Arabidopsis thaliana: one gene and its partners. The protein of the gene in region 2 interacts with the protein of the main gene of each other region in a pairwise test. Each region holds a gene or a part of one and is shown on either strand. Other genes may lie near its edges.

Region 1 (7,449 bases), on a different chromosome or scaffold from region 2:
ACCCTACTATACAAAACATTCTCTGTAGTCCTCTGTTTCTTCATTGGAACTATCTATGGGATTCATATGAAACCAAAACCTTCTGATTTTGCAGGCCATGGGTTCTTCCCGGAGGCAACTTTACCTTGTTGATCTTATTTGCAATCGCCATTATTCTGGGAATATGGCATTAGATCACCATCAAATACAAATGTTTTGTTTGTATCATGATTCTGCGAAGACATGCCATAATCTGACCGTGCTAACCAGACGCTAGGGAAGCAAAAAGACCCCACTGGGACCTTCACGAAGATATATGCATTCATTGGTTCCTTGTAGAAACACTAATAGCGATTGAGAAGTCTTTTTCACTTAGCAGGATCACATTTCACACTAGATCTATCATTGTTGGAAGACTTACTAAGAAACAGATTCAGCCATTCAGAGACTAGAGATGATATTAAAAATCTTGAAATTTTGGATTTAACAAACAACAATGTTTGCCCTCACACACATGTTCGCTAGACGACCATGCAGGGACACAATTGTGCAACTTAAAGATAGCCAGTGCATAGAATTCCGTGGTTTGACATTTATGGCTATCCTGAACAGATACTGTGTTGAGTAGGACACTAATTTGGTCACTGAAACTACAAGATGAGGAACTTGGAAAAACTACGGGTTCAGGTCGAAGTTCGTCTCCAATAGGTTCTGGATTTTGGACAAGGAATCAACCTTAAAATCAGGTTGCAGACCGGAAACAGAAAAATCGTCTGGTCCATACCTTCCGGTTTCATCTAGCAAGCAAGTGAAGGCTCCAGCTCGTTTCCCACATGCTATCTGCAGAATCGAGAAAAGAAAGATCGATTACCAGTTGTAATCTTCAGTAAAGATGTGAGAAAAATAGTCTGAAAAGTTGGTAGGCATCCTTTCCACATAGAAAATCTTTAAGCAATGGCATGAGAAGATCCATTGTTTAAGCTTCTTTCATTGCATTGCTTATCGATTTGCTATGGAGAAAGGGTTGACCAAAGGCTTGTCATCATGTCTGTCACTCACATCATCTTTTAAGCTGTCACCAACCATCATGACTTCATTAGGTTGGATGTCCCATGTAGAACATATATGCAACAGCGGGTCTGGGTTTGGTTTATATGGACGAAACTCTCTGCCTAGTGCTGGAGAAAAGATAACCTATACAATGAAAAATAACTGTAAGGAACTGCCTCAGATTTCTTCTCTCTGATAAAAAAAAAAGAATGATCCAGCTAAACCTATCTCAGGCAGCTGTCAAAATGTCTTCAATTCAACATTCTTACCTCAAAACGTTGATGGAAGATGTCGATTGCCTTTTGAACATTGCGTGTAATTAGCCCCCTCCTATAAAGTAAAATACAAAATGTAACAACAGTCAAGTTATCTGAACAAGAAAACAAAAAATCATAGACAGAAGTATCTGAAAACCACAGACTTTATCTTTTTGGAATCAAGGAAGCCACATAGTTCAGCAGTACCTGCCACATAAATGATCACATATCAGAAGAGAATTAAACCTCTAAACGCCAAAGAAACACAGTACTCCTTCTAGATTTTCAACTGCTAAATCATCTTATAGAACTCAACAGCATAAAGTCAATGACCAGTAAAGGAATGATCTCAAATCGTGATGTGGGGCTCTAAGACAAAAGTCAAACCTCCGTTAGACCATAAAGTCTTCACTTTTAACAAATGTTCATTTTATCTTTCAGCCTTGAATTTGCAATCTTTTCTCATCTTTAACTCTACGAAATTCTCAATCTTTAACCCATTTTACGATAGATTATCAGACGAAAACCCAAATCCTTAACACTTCCTCAGCGCAAACACAAAATCAAAAATAAAAAAATAAAGCAGATGAATCCGTACCAGGCATGATTTGAAGCTTATCTATTCCTTGTTTCTCATAATCAGCAATGATTTCATACGCCTTCTGCTGTTTATCAGGACTCCACGACTCAATATGATGCAGAATATCAATCCCACTAGGGCTCTCTGCTTTGATTCGCTTGTAAGCATCTTCACCAAGAACAGCTCTATACATTGCGGCGAAATCGATGACCGGAACAGTCAGGGTTCCGTCCATATCGAATACAACACCTCTCAGGCGAGTTTTAGCGTTCGTCGTTAAATTCGCCATGGAAATCGAACAAGAAGGTCTGAGAGTGAGAGAAATAAATGTTCTTGATAAGAGGAAAGTCATGGAAAAGAAATGGTGATGCTCAAACTGAAATTGAGGCTCATAATTATTCTCTATTTTTAACCAATTTCGGTTCGGTTTAATTTGAACAACTTGGTTTGTTTTGGTTTAGTGGTTTTTCACTTGAGCATGTTTGTGTATGTGCTTAAGAATGGAAACAAAGACACCAACAATCTCAACAATAATGGTTCTGCTGCCTTTTCTCTTCTTACTCTCTTCCTCTTCGGTAACGGTTTCTTCTTCGGTTCGCTTGTTGGCCGTTCGGGAATGGTGGTACCAAGCCCGTCTAACTCGTCCCACCCACCAAACTTAGAAGCCATTCCAGCTGAACTACGGTTAACTCCACGGCCATTGACATTGTTTCTAACGGTTGATGGGTTGTATCGAATCCTGCTACTACTTCTCTCCACTTCTTCTTCTTCTTCCTCTATCCCGAATTGATTTGCTATTGATGTACCTCTGCGTTTATCCCAACCAATCAACTTCTGGAACGCATAAAATAACAATGATGGCCCGATTGCTACGGCTAGTGACACGAGGAAAGCTTTGGGTCCGGTGCTGAAGAAAAGCGATAAGATGATGAATGGGAGGAGATATCCATACGATTTGAATGCCTACAAAGTGAACATAAACCAAACACAATAAAGATCCCACACCAACAATAAGAGAGCAAAATCTGGTGTATGCAAATAAAATGCAGCTATATATCAACAAAGCCGTTTCTCTTATCTTTGAGCAGAAAGACACTATCTAGTTAGAAATCAAAACTAGTTCAGATTCACTACACAACGATATTAACTGTTTCTTACATGATCACCATAACCATTACCAAAGAACAATTTTGATACTTTAATCAATCAGCATTTTCAATTAGCAGTAGTAGATTCCCGGCTAATTTCATAATTAAGGCTTAAAAGATGCATGATTGAAACTAATTACCTTTAAAATCCAAACATTATCTACAATTTCCTCTAAGATCTTCCACAGGTCAAAATTAGCACTACCAATTCCACCACCACCATCATCTTCATCATCATCGTCTTCAACATTATCTTCAAAAAGTTCTTCCCATAGCTCCCGCCGCTTCCTTCCCCTTTTTCCCCTTTCCGTCAAACGGTATCCCCTACCGTCATCAGCGGCGGCGCATATTTTATAGCTGAATCTCCGGCGGTTCAGCTGAATTATCTTCGCCGAAGTTACTCTAGAGCATGAGGAAGAGAAACAGAGGAGTTGAGAACGAGAGGGAGGATAAGATCTAGGGTTGTGGAATCGCCAGACATGGAGGTTTGAGAAACTAAGATAAGTAGAAGCTCGCGGTAACGAAAGAGCTCCTCTATCCGCCATTAACGTCTGGCGAAGCGAGAACAGTGAAGAAAATGCTCTGCTCCATGTATAGACACACTCAACTTGCGCCACGTTGTCATCATCTCCTCCATTAGAATCGAATACTATAAACCGGCTTGGTCCAGGAGAAATGTTAGAACTGAAATCCGGTATAATTGCAGGGGTAATTTCGAGATCATCAAATGTCTGACCTGACACGCCTACGTGGATTCTCTTTTCTCTTCCTTTTTCCAGAAACGAGGGAGAGAGAGACGAAGCATCAAACAAGGCAAAAACAAAAAAAAACCAGGAGAGAATATTCCGAGGGAAAACGCGAGAAAATTTCTTACGTTCTGCGAGAATCTCCAGCTTTCCTGGGGAAATATTGGAAGGCAAAAGCCGAAGGGTTTAAGGTCTCTGTAATCGTCGGAGAAATTTGAAATATCGTCCGTAAAACGTGAATGTAGTCTTAATCTTCCGCATTTATAACGTCGATCAGAGATTTTGAAGCTAGTAGAGAGAGAGAAGCGTTTTGTGTTTGATTTATGGTGTTTGGATCCATGGTGTGGAAACACCAGCTGATTGGGTTCTCAGGGATTTTTTCTAATGTTTCTCCCGTTGGAAATCTTTATTCGGGATCATTTCTAGGAAAATCAGACCAGATTTGGCCGTGATAATGGTACGAGTCTCTCTTCTCTTATCTGCATTGCGATTTCTCCGTGTTCTTCATTTTTACCTTTTTTTTTTTATCTTCTGTAACCATAATTGCTATTTGAGCTGATTTTTATGTTGCCCCTTACATTTTAGATTTCATTATAAGATGTGTCTAAAAGAGAACAAAAGAACCAGCTAATGAAGCTTGACAATATTTTTTTTATTTGTTTCTAATATATTCTACTTTAATCAGGCTTCAGTGAAGGTAACTGTGGGGTCACAGGTCTGGGTGGAAGATCCAGATGAAGCCTGGCTAGATGGAGAAGTTGTGGAAGCTAACGGTCAAGAGATCAAAGTTAATTGCCAAACCAAGACGGTTAGTCCCTTTTCTCCAAAGCAACGAGACAATGTGTTAGTTCTTAAGGTACCTTAAGAATACATTGCTCATATTTGTGATGCATTTGTTTGTAGGTTGTGGCAAAGGTTAATGCTGTCCACCCCAAGGATCCTGAGTTTCCTGAGCTTGGTGTGGACGACATGACAAAGCTTGCGTATTTGCATGAACCAGGGGTTCTTCTCAATCTAAAAGCCAGATACAATGCAAATGAAATATATGTACGCTTCAGCATGTAACTCTTGTCAGTTTTCCTTCTTTCATTACACCCACTTATGAATTCTATGATTATCTCTACCATTGTTTTGCTGAAAATTACTGCACAGTTATAGCAATATCATTAATATTTCTCTGAAGTGTTTGTAGCAAGCTAATTTCTTCTTGATGGTTACAGACATACACAGGGAATATACTGATAGCTGTGAATCCCTTTAAAAGATTACCCCACCTATATGGAAATGAGATAATGGAGCAATATAAGGGCACAGATTTTGGCGAGTTAAGCCCACATCCTTTTGCTGTTGCTGATTCTGCATACAGGTAATCTTTTGTTGCATAGATGAAACTTTAACTAATGTTGCACTATCATTTTTTTTTGGGCCTCACCATCATCAAGAATATAAATTTAGAAAAATGATCAACGAGGGAGTAAGCCAGGCGATCTTGGTGAGTGGAGAAAGCGGTGCTGGGAAGACAGAGAGCACAAAAATGCTCATGCAATATCTTGCATACATGGGTGGAAAAGCTGAGAGTGAAGGACGATCTGTCGAACAGCAAGTTTTGGAGGTAGATAGTCTGTTTACAATGCATCTACATTCTTACTAGAGACAGACTCACTGAGTTTCTCTCTGTAGATATCTTCTTATTCTTCTCGTATTATGATCCTGTTATGCAGTCAAATCCAGTTTTAGAAGCTTTTGGTAATGCAAAAACCGTCAGAAACAATAATTCAAGGTGGAATGTCATTCACATTTCTTGATTTTTCAAGTTTATGTATGTTCTTGAAGTCAACCTTGACATATGTAGGCAAATCTCATATTGCAGTCGTTTTGGTAAATTTGTGGAGATTCAGTTCAATCATATGGGAAGAATCTCAGGAGCTGCTATTAGAACATATTTGCTGGAGAGGTCACGAGTTTGTCAAGTTTCTGATCCTGAAAGAAACTATCATTGCTTTTACATGCTTTGCGCTGCGCCAGAACAGGTAAACATGGTCCCTTGTATGTTTACATCAGGTCGAACATATGAAGGCTCTGTATGTCCAGTGCTTGGCCATATATGGGATTCATACTGAAAACTAGCTTCTGTTCTGAAATTTCAGGAAACTGAGCGGTATCAGTTAGGGAAACCAAGCACATTTCACTACCTAAATCAATCGAATTGCCATGCATTGGATGCAATTGATGATTCCAAAGAATACCTAGCTACGAGGAAAGCTATGGACGTTGTTGGAATTAGTCCTGAAGAACAGGTACCTTTTGTTTTTTCATTGACATGATCAGCAATGAGGATAACTCTTCTTACATTTTACTTTTGTAGGATGCAATCTTTCGGGTAGTTGCTGCTATCCTTCATCTAGGAAACATTGAGTTTGCAAAGAGCGAAGAATCAGATGGTGCAGAACCCAAGGACGATAAATCCCGGTTCCATCTAAAAGTTGCTGCAAAACTTTTCATGTATATGCTTCACTATTATGTGTTCTCGGATTACAGGTTTCTTGTCAATGGGAGGTAGAACCCTGATTGCTCTTTTTTGGGTAGGTGTGATGAGAAAGCTCTAGAGAACTCCTTGTGCAATAGGGTGATGGTGACTCGTGGTGAAAGCATTACAAAGCCTCTTGATCCCGGTAGTGCAGCACTAAGCAGAGATGCTCTTGCCAAGATTGTCTATTCTAAATTGTTTGATTGGTAGGTTTACAATAACGGCTTCTTTCTTAAGGGCTTATTATCAATCCTGGGATATAAAGTTTTGAAAGCTTACAAATTTATTGCTCCCAGGCTTGTGACTAAGATAAATAATTCCATTGGCCAAGACTCAAGTTCTAAGTACATAATTGGAGTCCTGGATATTTATGGATTTGAGAGTTTCAAGACAAACAGGTGCTTAACCGGTACGCTACCAAAATGTTCAATTTCCTTTTTCGAGTTGATTTATAAACTCCCTATACTGCTTCCTGCATGGCTGCCTATATGCTCTCTGATTTAGTCTTCTTCAAACATTGAGCAGATGGTTTGTTATTGGATTTCTTAAGTTTTAGCTACTTAGCTAGAGATTTTTTTCTGGTCTGGGACAATATTATTATTATTCTCATAATTGATTGTTCCTAGCTGTTATATGGTTCAACTGATAGCAGTTTTAATGCTTGTGTTACAATTACAACGTTGTCTTTCTCTTTTCACATTTTGCAGTTTTGAACAGTTTTGTATAAACCTGACAAACGAGAAGCTGCAGCAGCATTTCAATCAGGTTGGAGACTGAGGTTCTTTTCATATTTTTGATTCTTGATTGATCTAATTTTATGCTGATCCATATTCATGCATATGTTCCTCTCTTCTACAGCATGTGTTCAAGATGGAGCAAGAAGAATATACTAAAGAAGAGATTGACTGGAGTTACATAGAGTTCATTGATAATCAAGATGTCCTTGACCTTATAGAAAAGGTAAGTAGTATCACAATGAGTGGTGTTGGAATCTTTATTCCGTTTTCTAGCAGTTCCAGTTTCATACATATTTATTGATTTCTAGCACCTAATACAGAATTGTTCAATGTCAGAAACCTGGTGGAATTATTGCTCTTCTTGATGAGGCTTGGTAATGTACCAAAGCGTCATGTTCTTTCTTCACTGATTTCTTTTTACTTCT
Region 2 (7,497 bases):
AACGATATCACAAGCGGGATAAAACGGAGGCAAACCTCACCGCATCAGCCGTGGTATTATCGGCTTCAATCTCGCCGCGAAGCCTAGCGTAAACCTGAGGGCTCCGGTAGACGGATCCCGGAGCAGGACGGCGGTGGATAATGGGAGAGGCATCAAACGACGCCGCGTGTAGGTGAAAAAGCATACAGGAGATGTAGATGATAGGAGCGAAAAGGAGAATTCCCTGACGCCGGAGAAGAACAGATAAAATGATCCATGAGAGACGGTGAGCGACGTTCCGACTTTGCTGTTGCCCGGAGACAGAGGAGGATTTCGACCGGCTCCGGCAGAGATGAGGAGATGTTGGCGGAGAAGGAGTAGTGTGATCGCTTCCCGGAAGCCGATTTTGAATCGACAGATCTCTCTCCACCTGGGAAATCATTGTTTCCCTGCTCTCTCTCTCTCTTCTCAATGCGCTACGCCATTAACGATATAATGCATTGCTTGTAACAATGGCAGGTGGCAAACGCCGATTGAACGGATTTATCCCGGCGGCGAAACTGTGAGTGAAGTAAGCAAAAGAGAGAGAAATTTTATTTATGTTATGTATGTATGCGCTCGTGCGGTGGAAGCATGATCGATTAATCACATGTACTTGAGTATTTATTTGGCTTTTCTTATGTGTTATAGTTCTTTAGTCTTTTTCTTTCTTCAATTCTTTGATTTCAGTTTCTATGGAAAACTATTGTTAAACGTGAGAATTCAATGCATCGGTTTCTACGTATGGTCTAATTTGTATTGGCAGAGAGACTTGTCCAAAAATAGCAATGAGTTTCATACACATTTTTCAGTTTTTGGTTAGAAAGATGAAATATTTTCAATCAACCAACCTATACTAAATTTGAAGGTGCGACAAGACAATATACTACAGTTGTCTTATCATCCAAACGAGTGGGTTAAACAACTGAAAATCCAAAATTAGTAGTTTTCCAACCATTGTGAAAAGGAAATCAAAAGACACAACTTTCAGAATGCATAGACATGGACCTACTTCTCGACCTGATTCAGTTGTCAATATGTGAAGAAGGAGATGCTATATAAAAAAAGCCATGCGGCCAAATGAGCTTATTTCTTTTGTTATAGCATGATCATGAATAAGCAAAGTCAACTAAGCTATCGTCTACATTGGCTATTGAAGTTGCTGCCTAAACGTAAACGAAAAGCATCCACAGATTACGGAAAAGCACAAAATGAGAAGATGCAACACTTGGGTTATCCATGTGATTGATGCCCATTTGTAAAAATTCAAAGACAGGTTCATAAAGGTAGATTCAATGATAAACGACAACAAAGTCCAACCACATCTTCAAGATAAACTAATTTATAAATGACTTCTCCTCATAACACAAACACCAACATGAACCCTCGTGGTTAAGTTGGCAAGCTTAGCCTTTTCAATCCTCGTGCAAAGTTCCCAAAACATCCTCGTCCCGGAAGAGATGGTACCTGCGTCCATCACACAAACACAAAAGTTACTCACTTTGAGTCAAATTCTTCTTCATTTGTAATTTCTTATTCGTTTCTAAAATCAACCCACCAATCAATATGTAAATCTGGTGTTCAAATTGGCATTATTAAACATTGATCAAAATGTTTTTAAATCCTCTGTTACAAAATTTTCAATATCTTCACAGTCTTACAAGTAATTCCCTTAGTTCCATCCATTAATCTAATTAATGGATAATGATTCCTGAACATGATTAGCTAAACATAAAGGTTCAATTAGATCAGATCAGAATTTTATCAGAATATTAGGGCAATAATAAGAAAGAAGCGGGTTTAACTTACTCGTTCTCGCCGAGCTTGACCTGTGTACCACCGTACTCTGGAAGAAGAACAGTGTCGCCTTCCTTCACAGAGACCGGAATCAATTTCCCGTCCTTATCCCTTGATCCAGGTCCAACAGCTATCACCTTGCCTGAGTTCAGCTGCAATCACCCAAAAATATGTTTATTTTTCAGATCTAAGAGGCGAAAATCAGAAGAATCAAATCGTGAAATCAAAGCTCTTTTACCTTGGAGGATTTCTCAGGTAGGAGAATGCCGCTTTCGGTTTTAGCGGGCTGGATGACTCTCTGCACCAAGATGCGGTTGAACGTTGGGATCAGACGCTTCATCATTTCTCAATTCTTCTTCTCTCTCAGTTGATGAATCGGAATTTTCTAGGGTTTCTGAGTTTTTAATTTGGGGCAGAGACACATAAGACGGAAGGTTCTAGATCGTAGGGTTTAGCGCGACAGAAAAAGGCCAAGGGTTTTGGGATTGTTTGGGCCTATAATATCATACTATTTCTTTAATGGGCCTCACTCATTAAAAAAAACCAGTCGCATTTGTGTTTGTCTAAATAAATTCTTGGAAGTGTTGTATGACCTTGCAGCTCAAATGGTTAGTTCCTTCCATGATTCTCTTTGCCAAGTTTTTCAAACTCCATGTACAATCCCATTTCATATACCACATCCAGAATGAGATGTTTATTTTCGGCAGATTTTTCGTGGAATGAAATCTTGACCTTTCTTTTATCAAACGTCTCTGCTGATGATGGAAAGCTTCTTGCTCTGTCAGTTTTCCCCATTTCTTTCAAGGTGGTAACCAAAGTTTTTCCCCGGATTGTTGCTTTGCTATGCTATATGTTTATTACATTGTGCCTCTGCGGGAATTACATGCTCTTAATTTTCAGAGTACAAATCTGAATAATCCATGTAAGCCAATGGTACGGTTCCGGACTTATACAAACACCATACAAATGTTCCAAGATACCAGGATTCGAATTTGCTATAACAAGATTAGGCACAAAGCTGAAACAAAGAGAGCTGGCGCCACTAGCCACTTCCATCGAGTTGGCCTTGAGATAGAAGGTGAGCCATGTATTGCTGCATTCACAATAAAATGAGCTCAATTCTTGGTTCTAACCCCACATGATTCGACAAACATTTCTATCAATGGCACCACAAAGTCAGTACCATCAAGATTCTAGACTTATGGAAACTGACCTTTACAACACTAAAATATCCGCACCACAGAGATTATCATAAAGAGATTGAAGAAACTTACGGAGTGGTAAACGTATGGAGATTTTCCCTGGCGATCAAAATGCTTAGCCATTATGCAGAATTCAACAGGACCCCAATCTTCAGATTCATAGCAATTCCCAAGCGCCGCTTTGTACAGCTTTACTCCAATAAACCCCAATCATCAGTTCCACACAGAACTAATCAACTATATAAACTGTAAACGACAACTCAAAATTGTCATCAAGGACAAACCTTAGCTGTGTCGGTCAAAAGTTCGGTGCCAGCAGGGTAAGATGCATAAAACTGATCTCCCCTGGAATATCCTGCTCTTGTTCTACACAACATTCGAATCAGTAACATTAAATCAAATTAAACCTGAAGCAGAAACCAAGAGAAGAACCCAGAAATTGAAATCATCTGCGAATTCCGATATTGAAAAGAAAGAACAACCAAAAGAAGCAAACTGAGATCGGACGAAAGACATTACGTGTTGTTTGTATAGAAGAATGTGAGGGCAGCAGTGAAGCAGTAGAATCCGGCGTAAGAGACAGCCCGTCGTAGCTTCTGGATCTTTATAACCTCTGAGCAAACATCCAAGATCATCATCTTCACACCTTCGGAAACTCTTTCAGGTATTATATCGAACACCTTGTGATCACTTTACCAAACAGAGATGACGAGTAGAAGAAGCATCTCACGAAATTTGCAATTGACAAATTGTAAACGCTTTGTATTGTCCAACTTTTTATGGGCCTATCTGACCTTTTTCTCTTTTCGGCCCAATAAAACTTTTAGATTTTATTTCTTTTGGCAACAATAAATTTAAAATAATATACATTATGGAAAATCATCTACAAACAAAAACCTTTAAATTAAAAAACTCACATGTTAATGCAATTAGGTTAGTAAGCAAGCACGTCTTGACAAAAATGTTATTGTTACACATTTAAAAATTCACATGTTATACAAGACAAAACATAAACGTAATGTTTTGCAGTCAAATAATGAAATAAATGAAATAATACAAAGGGATCTTTATGTAAAGGCGTCACCAATTAGTGGAAATAATGGAGCAAGCCACTACACTCTTCATATTGCTTTCCACTCTCCTCCTCGCCGTCTCCGTTGAGTCTCCTCAGCCACCGCTATTTCCCGATGAAGCTCTCCCCACTAAATCTGGCTACCTCCCGGTTAAACCCGCACCCGGCTCGTCCATGTTCTATGCCTTCTACGAAGCCCAAGAGCCAACCACACCTCTTCCTGACACTCCGCTCCTCGTTTGGCTCCAAGGTGGGCCAGGCTGCTCTTCAATGATTGGCAACTTTTACGAGCTCGGTCCCTGGCGTGTAGTTTCACGCGCCACAGACCTCGAGCGCAACCCCGGCGCATGGAACCGTCTATTCGGACTACTTTTTGTGGATAACCCAATAGGAGTCGGATTCAGCATCGCAGCCTCACAACAAGACATACCCACAAATCAGAGACAGGTCGCTGAGCATCTTTACGCCGCTCTCGTGGAGTTCCTTGAACAAAACCCAAGCTTCGAAAACCGACCGGTTTACTTCACTGGAGAGAGCTACGCCGGGAAGTACGTTCCAGCCATTGGATACTATATCCTTAAAGAGAAACCCAATGGGAAAGTGAATCTAAAGGGGCTAGCCATTGGAAACGGGCTGACCGACCCGGTGACCCAGGTTCAAACCCATGCGGTCAACGTCTACTACTCGGGTCTGGTCAACGCAAAACAGAGAGTTGAACTGCAAAAAGCGCAGGAGATATCTGTAGCTCTCGTGAAGTCCCAGAAATGGCGTGAAGCAGCAGACGCGAGGACCGAACTGTTGACGCTACTAAGTAACATGACAGGACTCGCGACGCTCTACAACACGGCACGGGCGATTCCATACAGAACAGACCTCGTGGTGGACCTCTTGAACCAGAGAGAAGCAAAACGTGTTTTGGGAGTGAGTGAAACGGTTCGTTTTGAGGAATGTAGTGATGAAGTAGAAGATGTGTTGCGGGCAGACGTGATGAAGAGCGTAAAGTTCATGGTGGAGTACGCATTGGAGAGGACTCAAGTCTTGCTGTATCAAGGTATGCTTGATCTAAGAGACGGCGTCGTTTCGACGGAGGAGTGGATGAAGACTATGAACTGGTCAGGATTGGGAATGTTCTCGACGGCGGAGAGGCGTGTGTGGAAGGATGAAGACGGTGTGGTCGCTGGTTATGTTCAGAGATGGGGGAATTTGTGCCACGTGGCGGTTACAGGAGCTGGTCATTTTGTTCCGACAGATAAAGCTGTGAATTCAAGGGATATGATTGAAGGTTGGGTTTTGGGGAAAGGATTGTTCGGTGGTAAAGATGTGAAGCAGACAACTTCGTCGAGCTTATACCATTCAATCTAAATATTGTGTACTTGTACTTAGTTCTGTAAGATTCAATTCAGATTCTAATTGTACTCTGGATTTAGATTTGTTACGTCATGTTCACAAGTTCATTTTAGTACGAATTGGTAACTTTTGCTACTTAGTTTATCATTTGCCTGTTCCTGAAGTCTTAAACTTTCTCAAAAAAGTTAGCATACAGTATACACTTAAGGATTGATTCAGATAAACTGTTTTGGTAAGAATAAGGAGATTTGAAGCATAAACTAAAGAATTTTTAAAAACATGTAATGGCGATTGGAGGCGGGATTGTGAATGAGATTCAAAGTGATTTGAGTATAAAAAATACACAAAACACAGAGAAAGCACAAAGAAACCCGTACTATGAAGCCATTTTGGTATTAGGGAAAGAAGAGCAAGGGCACCCCGTAGAAAACCTACAGGTATTTCAGAGCTATTTATCAAAATCTCTCCCCTGTTTTTTGCCTCTTTCCCGATTCAATTTTCTCGGAAAAACATTCGCGGAAAACAGAAAGAAAACTACTAATCATATGAAAATCAATCTTTCGCCTAATTGTTGAGAGAATGATATTCAGAACATCGAAAAATTGAAACAAAATTCATTGGAACCCTAATGACGGCTCCTGCTAAAACCTGTGAAACTCGCAACTTTATAGTGCGAAATTAGGAGAGTTAGGGCGGACGATAATCCTTTTAGTTGGGCCGAGAAAAAATTGGGTTCAGAGTTAGGTAACTATTAAGCCCATTGGGCTACTGTGTATAATCTATGTCCATCGTTTGACCTCACCATTGTTAGAACAAACAAAAAAAATAGACATCACTTCACCATTATTTCTTAAATTAATGTTAAGTATGAGAGTACCCCATGATTCCTTAATTAATCATATGGATTGATTCGTACGTTTTTTGGATGTAAACAAAGGAGAGGTCAATGTACATATAATTATTGGTTGATAAATTATGAGGATAGTACGTTAATGGGATTGACATTTAATGATATCTCCAATTTAACACCGATCCATCTTTTTCATCGGAGCTTCATGTTTGATGTTTTTTTATTTGGCCGTGTCGACAAATTTGTAAAAGACGTGTAAAGCTGAAATTGAGAAGAAACAAAAGTGAAATTGTAAGGAAACGTGATCGATGGTGACCCCATCAATATTACGATAAGGTAACGCGCTAAAGCAGCCTTAGCCGTTTTTATTAAATATTATCCAAATATAACTTATAAATAATCCCACCAATTGTGTCTCCTAAGCAACAGAAAATGGAAATGATACTGATCTCGTCATCGACACTCAGGTTCCATCCATTGAGGACATCACAAAGAATCGCCACCGGAACCAATAGAAGACGAACCACCACCGTGTGTGCAGACTACTACAGAGGAGGAAGAACGGTGGACGAGAACATGGTGGTCCTTAGGAAACGAATCCATGAGATGAAGATGGTTGAACGCAACTTTGAACCTCCTTCTCATTGGATGCAATGGGAGAAACGTTTCTACTGCAACTACGACGCTACTATATGTGATGCACTCACTCTTCTCCAAACTTTTCTCATGAACTCTCGTCCCAGCGTCGCGTTTGGAACGTGTCTTCTTCTCCTCGTCAGCGTTCCCGTCTCCTCCGCCGTTTTTGCTTTTCGCATCCTTGATCTAGCTCTTTGGCTTTTGGACGCCGTTCACGTAGTATGATCCGTAAATATCTTTGTTATTTTATCTAGAAACTATCTTTGTTATTTTATGTCGAAATTAAGGTAATTTTCCAAAACTAAAATGGAATTATTTATTATCAACAAATACCTTGAGAAATTCTATAATGATTTTGTTTAAAGAATCCTAATTTCATCTTTTTTGGAAAAATAAAAATAAAAAAAATCCGTACTTCATATGATTTAGGAAAAAAAAGTAATCAGTGTGAAGTAGTAGAAGAAAATCCTTGCTTCATATGACTAGAGATCCGTTGATTATTCGGAATACCGGAAAACTAGAGTCTCTCAGATCTGTTGATTTCTCAATACAAGAAACGAAAAAACGTGAAGAAT
Region 3 (9,263 bases), on a different chromosome or scaffold from region 2:
ACGAGATTTCAAGTTTCTAATCTCGATATCTAAAGGGAACACGTCCTGAAAACGTGACTAAAAAGGTGTAAAGGCTCAACCTGAGGTCCAAGCTGGTGAACGAAGACTCCACTAGTTGCGTATCCAACCAAAGCGCCAGCAGATGAACAAACCATACAAAGGCTCTGTATATCAGGAGCCAAAGATCGGATATTGATGCTGTTTGTTGCTATACACGCATCAATCACCACATCTGCAATGGCCATAGCTGCAGAGACACCTAAGAGGCAGCTCAAAGCCAAAGCAGCGGGCAACTTACCAAGAACAACAATAGCAATCGCAGATACCAAACCAAGAACACCAGAAACTACAAAATACGGCTTTCTTTTGTAACCTTTGATAGGGAACACATCGGTGAAGAGACCCCAAATGGGTCTCATGACCCATGGAATGTAATATAACCCCATGTAAAGCTGCACAACCGATGGCTGCACTTGCTGGACATCTTTCCAGTAATAGTCTGTGACGACTTTGAATATCGAACCAGAGAACCCTTGGTTTACACCGTACACAAGGACCACACCTAGCACGAAGCTCAGGTTTAGCCTAGAACTCAGCATTTGTAACCATTGGAAGGGCTGAATTAGAACTGAGACGACAGCGTTTCTTCTTGCTTTTGTCTTGATCTCAGAATGATCTGAAATTGGTTTTAGGAGAGGTTTATCGTCTGAGAAGAATTTCTCAGTTTCTAGTGTTTCCATGGTGTTGACTGTTTAGGAGATGAACATTGGATCTGAAATCAAAATATCGAGAGCAAGAGCCTTTAATCGTTATTTTCAATGTAAAGGAAATGCCTTTTAGACTTTCAAAAAGGTTTAGACATTCACACACGAGGAAAAACAAAAGATATATTATAAAGTTTCCCACTTGACAATGACATTTACCTTGTTGACTTTGTAAGCAATGACGTCTTTCTTCAACTACCAGTCTGAAATTCTACAAAAACGAAACCAAATCGCTTTATTAGCCAAAATTCACAAACTCGATAGTATGATTGACAGATCTTGAAAGCAAAAAGAGAAAGTCAAATGTTTCATCTTCCCACCGAAACTCAAAAATCCTAATCAACATCAACAAACACCTAAACAATTACTTCAAAATCCAATTAAAAAATAGAGAAGGAAAGCGATATGCTGCTTCGTTGGAGGTCATTATCTTTGAGATTCCCACAAGCTAAAAAGACTACTATATATGACTAGAGAGTCATGGCTAGACACTAATCAGAAAAAAGAGAGAAAGAAAAGAAGAAGCAAAACAGAGAGAAAATGGCAGGATTGTTTGATAAACAAGCCGATCTATACCTTGACGCCAGACCTAATTACCCCTCTGAGTGGTTCTCGAAGCTCGCTGATCTCACCGATCACCACGGTTTAGCCTGGGATGCTGCCACCGGAAATGGCCAAGCAGCTCTCGCCGTCAGTATTTGATGCTCATAAATTTTTATAGAGCTTCAAACTTAGATTTAACAGATTTAGCTTCTTGCTCGTAAATGATCACAACAACATGCATCAGATCTTGGATTTGACAAATTTCGCCTCCATTTTGCAGGTTGCAGAGCATTACGAGAGTGTCGTAGCAACGGACGTGAGTGAATCGCAGCTGAAGCTAGCAACGCCACATCCGAAAATCAATTATCGCCATACGCCGACGTCAATGACCGACGACGAGCTAGTGGAATTAATCGGAGGAGAAAACTCAGTGGATCTAATCACGGTCGCCCAAGGCGTACACTGGTTCGATCTCCCTAGGTTCTACTCAGTGGCCACACGACTCCTCCGTAAACCAGGCGGAATCATCGCTGTCTGGGGATACAACGACGTCATAGTGAGTCCAGAGTTCGACGCCGTCCAGTATCGGCTCCACGCCACAACGCTGCCGTTTTGGAAGTATCCGTACATTCAGCACATCTTCGATTCGTACGAAGCATTGCCGTTTCCTTTCGAAAATGTTGGGATGGGATCAGAAGGGGAGCCATTAAAGCTGGAGATGCCTAAAACGACGTCGTTTGAAGGGATCATAAGGATGTTTAAATCATGGTCGGCCATCGTCACGGCGAGAGAGAAAGGCGTCGAGTTGTTACCGGAGAGTTTGGTGAGAGAGCTTGAAACCGCTTGGGGAGGTTCTGATCTGGTTCGTTCCGTCGTTTACAAAGCTTTTATGATTGCAGGAAAAGTTAGAGTTTGATATCACCAAACCATGATTGATTGTTGTTCTCATTTGAGTTTATTTATAAAAATTGGTTATATTGCAAAAATTCTCAGAAAGTGTTGTTATTTGACAAATCAAACAAAATACACTCTATTACATATATTAAAATCTCTTTTGGTATGCAACAAAATAGAACCTAAAATGCAACAAAACCGATTTTAAAAAGAAAAATAAGATAAACTATGATCACCTTTTCTTCTTTGTTTCCTTAATCGCCATGATGATCATCATATCCTCTAATCGATCTTAACAGAGGAATAGATGAGCCTTGTGAACCAGAGACAAGCATAGAACCCTATTGTTCCTGTGAGCACAAAAAATGCGTAGGAGGCGATGAGCATGTACCCAAAGTAAAGCATCGCAGAGACCAGTTTGGTGATCTGAAGCTTTGTGAAGAAGTAGAACGTGGCATAGAGGAAGAGGTAGAGAGCTGATGAGCCTGATGTGAGGTATGATCTCCACCACCAAAGGTAGTCCTCACTGCAAAGCTGGAAGTAGCAGAGTACTACGGTTATCTCGGCGCAAGTCACAATGAGGATTACAAAGACGAGGAAGAGGAACCCAAAGATGTAGTAGAACTGGTTGAGCCAGATGGATGTGAGGATGAAGAAGAGCTCGATGAAGACTGCACCAAACGGTAAGATTCCTCCAATGAGGATTGAGAAAACCGGGTTCATGTACCAAGCTTGCTCTGGGATTTGCCTCGGGATTTTGTTGGTTTTCACTGGGTCATCAGCCGCTGGCTTCTTGAACCCAATGTAACCCCCAACAAAGACGAGAGGAACTGAGATGCCAAACCAGAGGAAGATCAAGGCGAACATTGTTCCAAAGGGGACAGCCCCAGATGACTTCTGTCCCCAGATGAGAGCGTTTAGGACAAAGAAGATTGCTGACACAACTGCAGGAAACAAGAAGGCTGTTCTGAAAGCGATTCTCTTCCACTCTGTTCCTTTGAACATTTTGTAGAGACGTGAAGAGGCGTAACCAGCAAAGAGTCCCATGAAGACCCAGAGCAAGAGCATTGCAGTCATCAGACCACCCCGATTGGAAGGGGAGAGAAATCCGAGCATGGCGAAGATCATTGTGACAAATACCATGCCTAGACACTGGACCCCTGTTCCAACATAGACGCAGAGCAGATCAGAATTGGTAGGAAGTCTGAAAACATCACCATGGACAAGCTTCCATCCTGTCTCTTCTTGAGCTTCTTCTTGAGTCTCGAGCTCGTTGTATCGTGAAATGTCACGGTAAAGGGTCCTCAGCATTATCATTGCCACCATACCAGATAGGAATAGGACGATCATCAGAGAATTGACGATAGAGAACCAGTGGATTTGGTTATCACTCATCAGAAGATAAGTATCCCATCTAGATGCCCACTTCACTTCACTTTCCTGGACAGAAACAGAAGAGGAAATCAGAAAAACTATTGAAAACAAGAATTCATGAAATTTTTTTAAGACACAAACCGCAGATTACTTAAGAAAAAACTTGCCTGGAAATCGACGTCATATGTGAAGATAATCTCCTTCTTTTGTTCAACTTCTTGAGGGGTAGCCGAGCTAACGACCAGGCGTTTCGTGTGAGGATCACAAGTCGTCAGACGGGTCTTCTCACTCCACTCTCCCTCATACTCATGCTTCACACTACAAATCAACGGAGGGAATATCAGTTCTGAATGACAGGGGATCCCAAGAGACATTCAAATTATGAACAAGAACTGCACCTGTAAGGTTTAACCTCAAATCCCACGATTCTTGCAGCATCAGTTTGGATATCTCTGTGATAGCGGACTGTAAATGCCAAGTGATTGTGCATAAAGAACTTCTGCTCTTTGCTCTGCGTATGCAAAAACAAAATTAGAAAATCGAACGATCTAGCATGAATTCCATTTAGTGTCTTAACAATTAAAACCTACTTACCCCCTCGTACTGGCCTTTAAGACCAACATGATAACCAAGCTGATAAACAACAGAGGGAGAACCCTGGTCGACTCTTTCAATTGGAACAACCAGAGGAAGGTTGTCGAGGATCCTAACACAGACCAGAAACACTTATAATAAAACTGACAGAGAAAAGCATGTTCTTCATACAAATAATCAAAGAAAAGTGCCTGTATTTGGTCTTACATGTTGACCCGGTACTCATCATCGATCTTTTCTTTAAACGCTTTAGCTGTCTTGGCATCAAGAGTGACCCGGCCGAGAATATTGCACATTTGTGCCTCCCGCATTTTAAACTGCAATTGTTTCAGCCCCGCAAGGGTTAGAGTTAAATCACAGACATAATATTTTTGACAGCCTGATGAATTACAAAATTAAAAATTGAATACGAGACTAACCGAGTATGGGGCATTCTCAATCCGGTCACCCCGAAGCACTTCTCCAAGATTCTCAGTACTGTCCACAATCTTGCTAGGGCGACAAAAAGGAAGGGAGTAATACGAGTATGGAAGCTGAGTCTTTATGGAAGTTAATTTATTCACTTTCACCTTCAGCTCATCACCCTGCAACATACAAGAAAACAAGACTCAAAATTTGAATATGATTTTGAAGTGAAACATGCAAGTCTACTTTGATTGAGACTCGTCATATAACATGCAGGACCGACATTGCCCTTGTACCCATAACTTGGATTTCGTAGTAATGGCAAGCGAATCAAGAGCGAGAGATCACTAAGAACCTAACAAAGGTAATCAAAATTACAGCGAATAAGGCTAATCCAGAAGAATAAATATCGATATAGCTCGCCTAAGACGCTACATTGTTCAGATCGAGAGATTAGTGAAGCGGAAATGAAGTGAAATCACCAATTCTATTAGAAAAATAGCTAAACCAAAAGTCGGTGCATCAGCACTCCAACTCTCACTATCTCTAGCTTTCTCGGGAATCAAGAACGGATTAATCCTAGCGGAAATCGAAACGCAGATCCAGGAGATCCAAATCAGATCTAAAAGCCTAGAAGCACAAATTCGAAACGTTTTTACCTTCTCGAAATCCTGAGGAGCAACACCTGGGAGATAGAATGAGTGAGCTCCATGGATGAAGAGCAGAAAAATCAAAGCGATCGCGCATCCAGAAGATTCCAATATTCTTCTACTGCTCCTCAGAAACTCCATAGCCATGGCTGTTCCACACGAAGGAAGAAAATAACCAGATCTGAAGCTACGCTACAGTTGTATTTGACTCTTATACGCTTCGAGACTCGAGACCAAGACCCGCCTCTAATTGTGATTTAATACTTCCCGGTTTATTTTTCCGGTTTGGCTCGTTTATGTTTGATCCTTATCAACCATTAATAATTCACCACGTCACTACGCATGAAGTCTTTCTACGAGCTATAAGCCTACATAACCAATGGGCCTAACTCGATAAGCCCACCCTAGGATAAACCAATCCGATAAACCATGATTAATTAAAGTCAATCAAGATTTTTAAGCATTTGCTATACATTTTTAAGATTGTGTTAAAATGTGGTCTCAATATAATCGATAGAGAGAAAATGGGCGACGCCGCCGGAGGCTTGAGATCTGAAACGCAAGATGTGACCATGACGGACCTAGGAGAGAAAGGTCATTCTCCGGGAGACCCTCCTGATGCACCGGGTTCGTGGGTGAAGAAAGTGGTGGGGGGACATTTAGGTGGTATCCTAAATCCGAATGATATCTTAGATGATGAGTTTGTGTCTGAGCAAATGACACTGGAGTTCCCTGATGGTGAGGATGGAGAACCAGTGATAACAATTGGCAGTGAGGTATTGGCGGCGATGAATGGTTTGTTGAAGAACAGCTTGATCGTGAAAGTGCCCGGGCGTAACATGACAATATCAGCATTAAGTAGAAAGCTTCGAGAGATGTGGAAACCACGAGGAGCAATGTCTGTTGTGGATCTCCCTCGTAAGTTTTTCATGATTCGGTTCGAAGCGGAGGAGGAATACATGGCAGCGTTGACAGGAGGTCCATGGAGGGCGTTTGATCGCTATCTCATGGTGCAAGCTTGGTCACCGGAGTTTGATCCCTTGAGAGACGATATTGTGACCACACCATAATCGATTTGATTTGAAGAAAATCTATCGTTTTATATTTTGCCTTGGTTTACTTGTTTGTATTCAAAGAATTGGTTTACTTGTTAAGATATTTTTCATGGTCCAAAGACACGGAAACTTTGTACCGAAATCAAATTTTCAAAGTAATTCTATTATTTCATAACACACATGGATACTTGACGCAAGATTTGATAACAAAAACAAACATCATATCTTTCATAAAGAGATCAGAGTTTTTGGTTTTATTCTCTTGCTAAGTAAGCGCAAGAAGAGAAGCAGCACAAGGCCTTAGTTTTGACAAGTTAAACAACGAAACAACACAAAACATCAAACACAACAACAACAACAATAACAACGAGGACTGCATATTTACACTGATCTGGAAGCTTTTCAGATTCAGCAGCACAAGACCAGACGACACAACAGGGAACTCTTTTCTTTCCATTATTCAAGATCTAGTAACCTCCCTGAATATACGCATTTAGGCGTTGAAGCTCCTCTCTATGCTCATGAACCACTGCACGGACAACATCTCCTATGGACACCATTCCAATCATGCCCTTGTCTTTGATTACCGGAATATGCCTGATTCGGTTATCTGTACATTACAAAAACACAAACCCGCATTTTTATTTGCTTCAGTAGGTTTTAAACCCAAAAGCTTGTATCTTTAGTGGAAAAATATCAAGTTGTCTGCTTACCTGTCATCAGTTGCATAGCACGCAAGACCTTGGTCTCCGGTGTCACAGTGATAAGCTTATTCTGCAATTGCCAGTTCACAGATCCAGTCAGTTTCAATCCACAAAAGCAAAAAAAAAATCGTACAATCGTGCATTTACATACCTCTTCAGTCATAATGTCTCCAACTTTTGTTGATTTGGATGATCTCCCTTGCACAATGATCTTCCGTAGATAATCTAGAGAAATCACAATGCCGAAAAGTGAATCACACATACCACAAGACACAACAAAAAAATTATTAATGATTAGATCTAATTTTACCTCTCTCTGTAATGATACCAGCAAGAGCTTGTTGCTCACCAGGTTTCACAACCACCAAGGCACCAACATTGTGTTGTGTCATCTAAACAAAATCAAACACAATCAATTCCAAATCCACATCGAGATATCTAAAAAAGGAAAAAGAGAGTAGTATAAGCATACGGATTTAACAGCATCATAAACAGTGTCATCAGTAGTACACCAAAGCCAAGATCCATCAGCACTTTTGCCTTTGGATTTCATGACATCGGAAATAGTTGTGCTCTCGAATCCAGATTCCTCCATACGTGCAGGTTGAGTTGATTCAGAGCGTGAACAAAACACAGAAGGCTGAATCGCCGGGTTAATCACACGGAGATGTTGCAGCACAGAGCCTTTCACAACATTTCCACCGGAGACGAAGGATCGAATCACACCTTGCATCTTTCAACTGTCAACAACCAAATAATCAGTTCCTCAAAACGAGATCTATAAAATCAAGAGCTAAAAGAACGAGTCTAATGAAACTAGATCGAAAAGAGAATGATCCTAATTCTTAAACCGAGTGTATTTGATCAACAAATCCTAAAATGGAAAGTTTCCTCAATCAGATTCAGTAAAAAGCATCAGAGATAGTGAAGAAGGAGAGATTCAGACCTGAGATTAGAGAAGAAGAAGAGATCGTAGTGGAGCTTGAGGTTGAGCTTGAAAACCCTAGAGAATGGGGAAGAGACAGCTGACCAGAGAGAGTTGAGTGGAGAGTTTTTTGAAGGGTTCTCTAATGGATAATCATCAAATATATAAATAAACGATTTTCGATAGCGAAATACTGGCGACTTTTTTCTTTTCCTTAAAATATCTTACAAAATTTAAAATAGTGATGACTGTGTTGCTTCATTCAATTATTCTATCATATCCTGACAAATATCAACAGGCCCACTTAAAAACTTAAGGCCCACTTTAACAGGGCCAGATTTGGATACAAATAATATTCAATCGAGACGACGTAGAAGATACTCAACCTCAACGAGCTTAGTGAGAGGGATAAGCCATTCCCCGTAGATGCGAGAGGCAAGCAATGGATCCACTTTATACTTCTTCTTACTCTCATCGCCATAGCCAGAGTTGAATTTTACTTCTTGTCCAAACGTTTCTGCTTTCTTCTGCACTCTCTTCTTAACCATTTCTTCTACTTTCTCAAACGTCAACAGCTTCATCAAAGCCTCTCTATCCTACAGTCGAAAATCAAACGATTATGGTGTGAATCATATCATTTTAAAACCACAGTGAAACAGAATCCACAATGTGACACTAAGTTTACCTGAGCGCGAATCGCAGGCTCGTAATCTTGTGGAGCATCTCTGAATTTGACCTCAGCTACAAATTTACCGTAGTGAATCCTTCTCGAAAGAGCCTTACACAAGATCAAACATATCAGATCAGACATCATTAGCCAAAAGTAGAGCTGATTTTGTTATGTATACTCAATCATCTCCTTACTTGTAAACAGGCGAGATCACTAGCAGCAGTTGATGGATAGTTGCCATCATCGCCAGGTTTGACAAACAAAGGAAGCAATTCTTTAAAGTAAATATCCCAGATTTGTTTGTTAATGTTAACAGATAGAGCCTTAGGGTGCAAAGCCTAATCAAGAGAAAGAAAAGTACTGTTAGACTAAAGCATTCAGAGTTCTAAGAAAAATGCTCAAGACTTTACTACATACATACCGATGGATATTTGTGCGTAGGAAAAACCGAGTGAGGAATGTTCTCAAGGAAGAAAGGATTCTCTTCCGGGTATTCATATCTTCCTACCTATATAATATACACATACACATAAGGTTTTCAAGTAAACCAATGAACAAACATATAGGCTCAATATCCAGAAACTTAAGAATATATATAAACCAATGAGATGAATATATTAATGAAATAAGACTTTCAGACATTATAAAAATAGAAAACAATAGTCCTCCATTTCCAATCTCCACA

The links. The genes of interacting proteins can lie anywhere in the genome.
Region 1: the proteins of AT1G14990 (region 2) and AT2G33250 interact in a protein complementation assay, tested with the Arabidopsis thaliana proteins (one large-scale study listed by BioGRID).
Region 3: the proteins of AT1G14990 (region 2) and EMP1 interact in a protein complementation assay, tested with the Arabidopsis thaliana proteins (one large-scale study listed by BioGRID).

What each region holds. Positions count from the first base shown.
Region 1 is NC_003071.7:14,093,564-14,101,012, reverse strand, and holds AT2G33250 (uncharacterized protein), read right to left. Parts: upstream 3,645-7,449; 5' UTR 3,560-3,644; coding exon 3,155-3,559; intron 2,830-3,154; coding exon 2,335-2,829; 3' UTR 2,262-2,334; downstream 1-2,261. Other genes in the region: AT2G33260 (Tryptophan/tyrosine permease), read left to right, coding at 95-173; AT2G33255 (Haloacid dehalogenase-like hydrolase (HAD) superfamily protein), read right to left, coding at 655-819, 1,039-1,173, 1,299-1,359, 1,451-1,493, 1,885-2,218; XID (myosin XI D), read left to right, coding at 4,099-4,155, 4,446-4,568, 4,664-4,807, 4,981-5,126, 5,216-5,372, 5,482-5,540, 5,631-5,790, 5,908-6,057 and 6 more.
Region 2 is NC_003070.9:5,164,497-5,171,993, forward strand, and holds AT1G14990 (uncharacterized protein), read right to left. Parts: upstream 3,769-7,497; 5' UTR 3,656-3,768; coding exon 3,537-3,655; intron 3,384-3,536; coding exon 3,302-3,383; intron 3,207-3,301; coding exon 3,090-3,206; intron 3,029-3,089; coding exon 2,999-3,028; intron 2,909-2,998; coding exon 2,858-2,908; 3' UTR 2,535-2,857; downstream 1-2,534. Other genes in the region: AT1G14970 (O-fucosyltransferase family protein), read right to left, coding at 41-421; CPN10 (chaperonin 10), read right to left, coding at 1,434-1,485, 1,828-1,967, 2,054-2,158; scpl50 (serine carboxypeptidase-like 50), read left to right, coding at 4,117-5,451; AT1G15010 (mediator of RNA polymerase II transcription subunit), read left to right, coding at 6,719-7,147.
Region 3 is NC_003076.8:3,422,427-3,431,689, forward strand, and holds EMP1 (Endomembrane protein 70 protein family), read right to left. Parts: upstream 5,472-9,263; 5' UTR 5,372-5,471; coding exon 5,234-5,371; intron 4,754-5,233; coding exon 4,589-4,753; intron 4,487-4,588; coding exon 4,377-4,486; intron 4,282-4,376; coding exon 4,170-4,281; intron 4,087-4,169; coding exon 3,974-4,086; intron 3,894-3,973; coding exon 3,743-3,893; intron 3,642-3,742; coding exon 2,484-3,641; 3' UTR 2,262-2,483; downstream 1-2,261. Other genes in the region: AT5G10820 (Major facilitator superfamily protein), read right to left, coding at 81-740; AT5G10830 (S-adenosyl-L-methionine-dependent methyltransferases superfamily protein), read left to right, coding at 1,305-1,454, 1,588-2,223; CBSX3 (Cystathionine beta-synthase (CBS) family protein), read right to left, coding at 6,747-6,889, 6,993-7,053, 7,135-7,208, 7,294-7,375, 7,456-7,716; CM2 (chorismate mutase 2), read right to left, coding at 8,265-8,504, 8,594-8,686, 8,773-8,916, 9,000-9,086.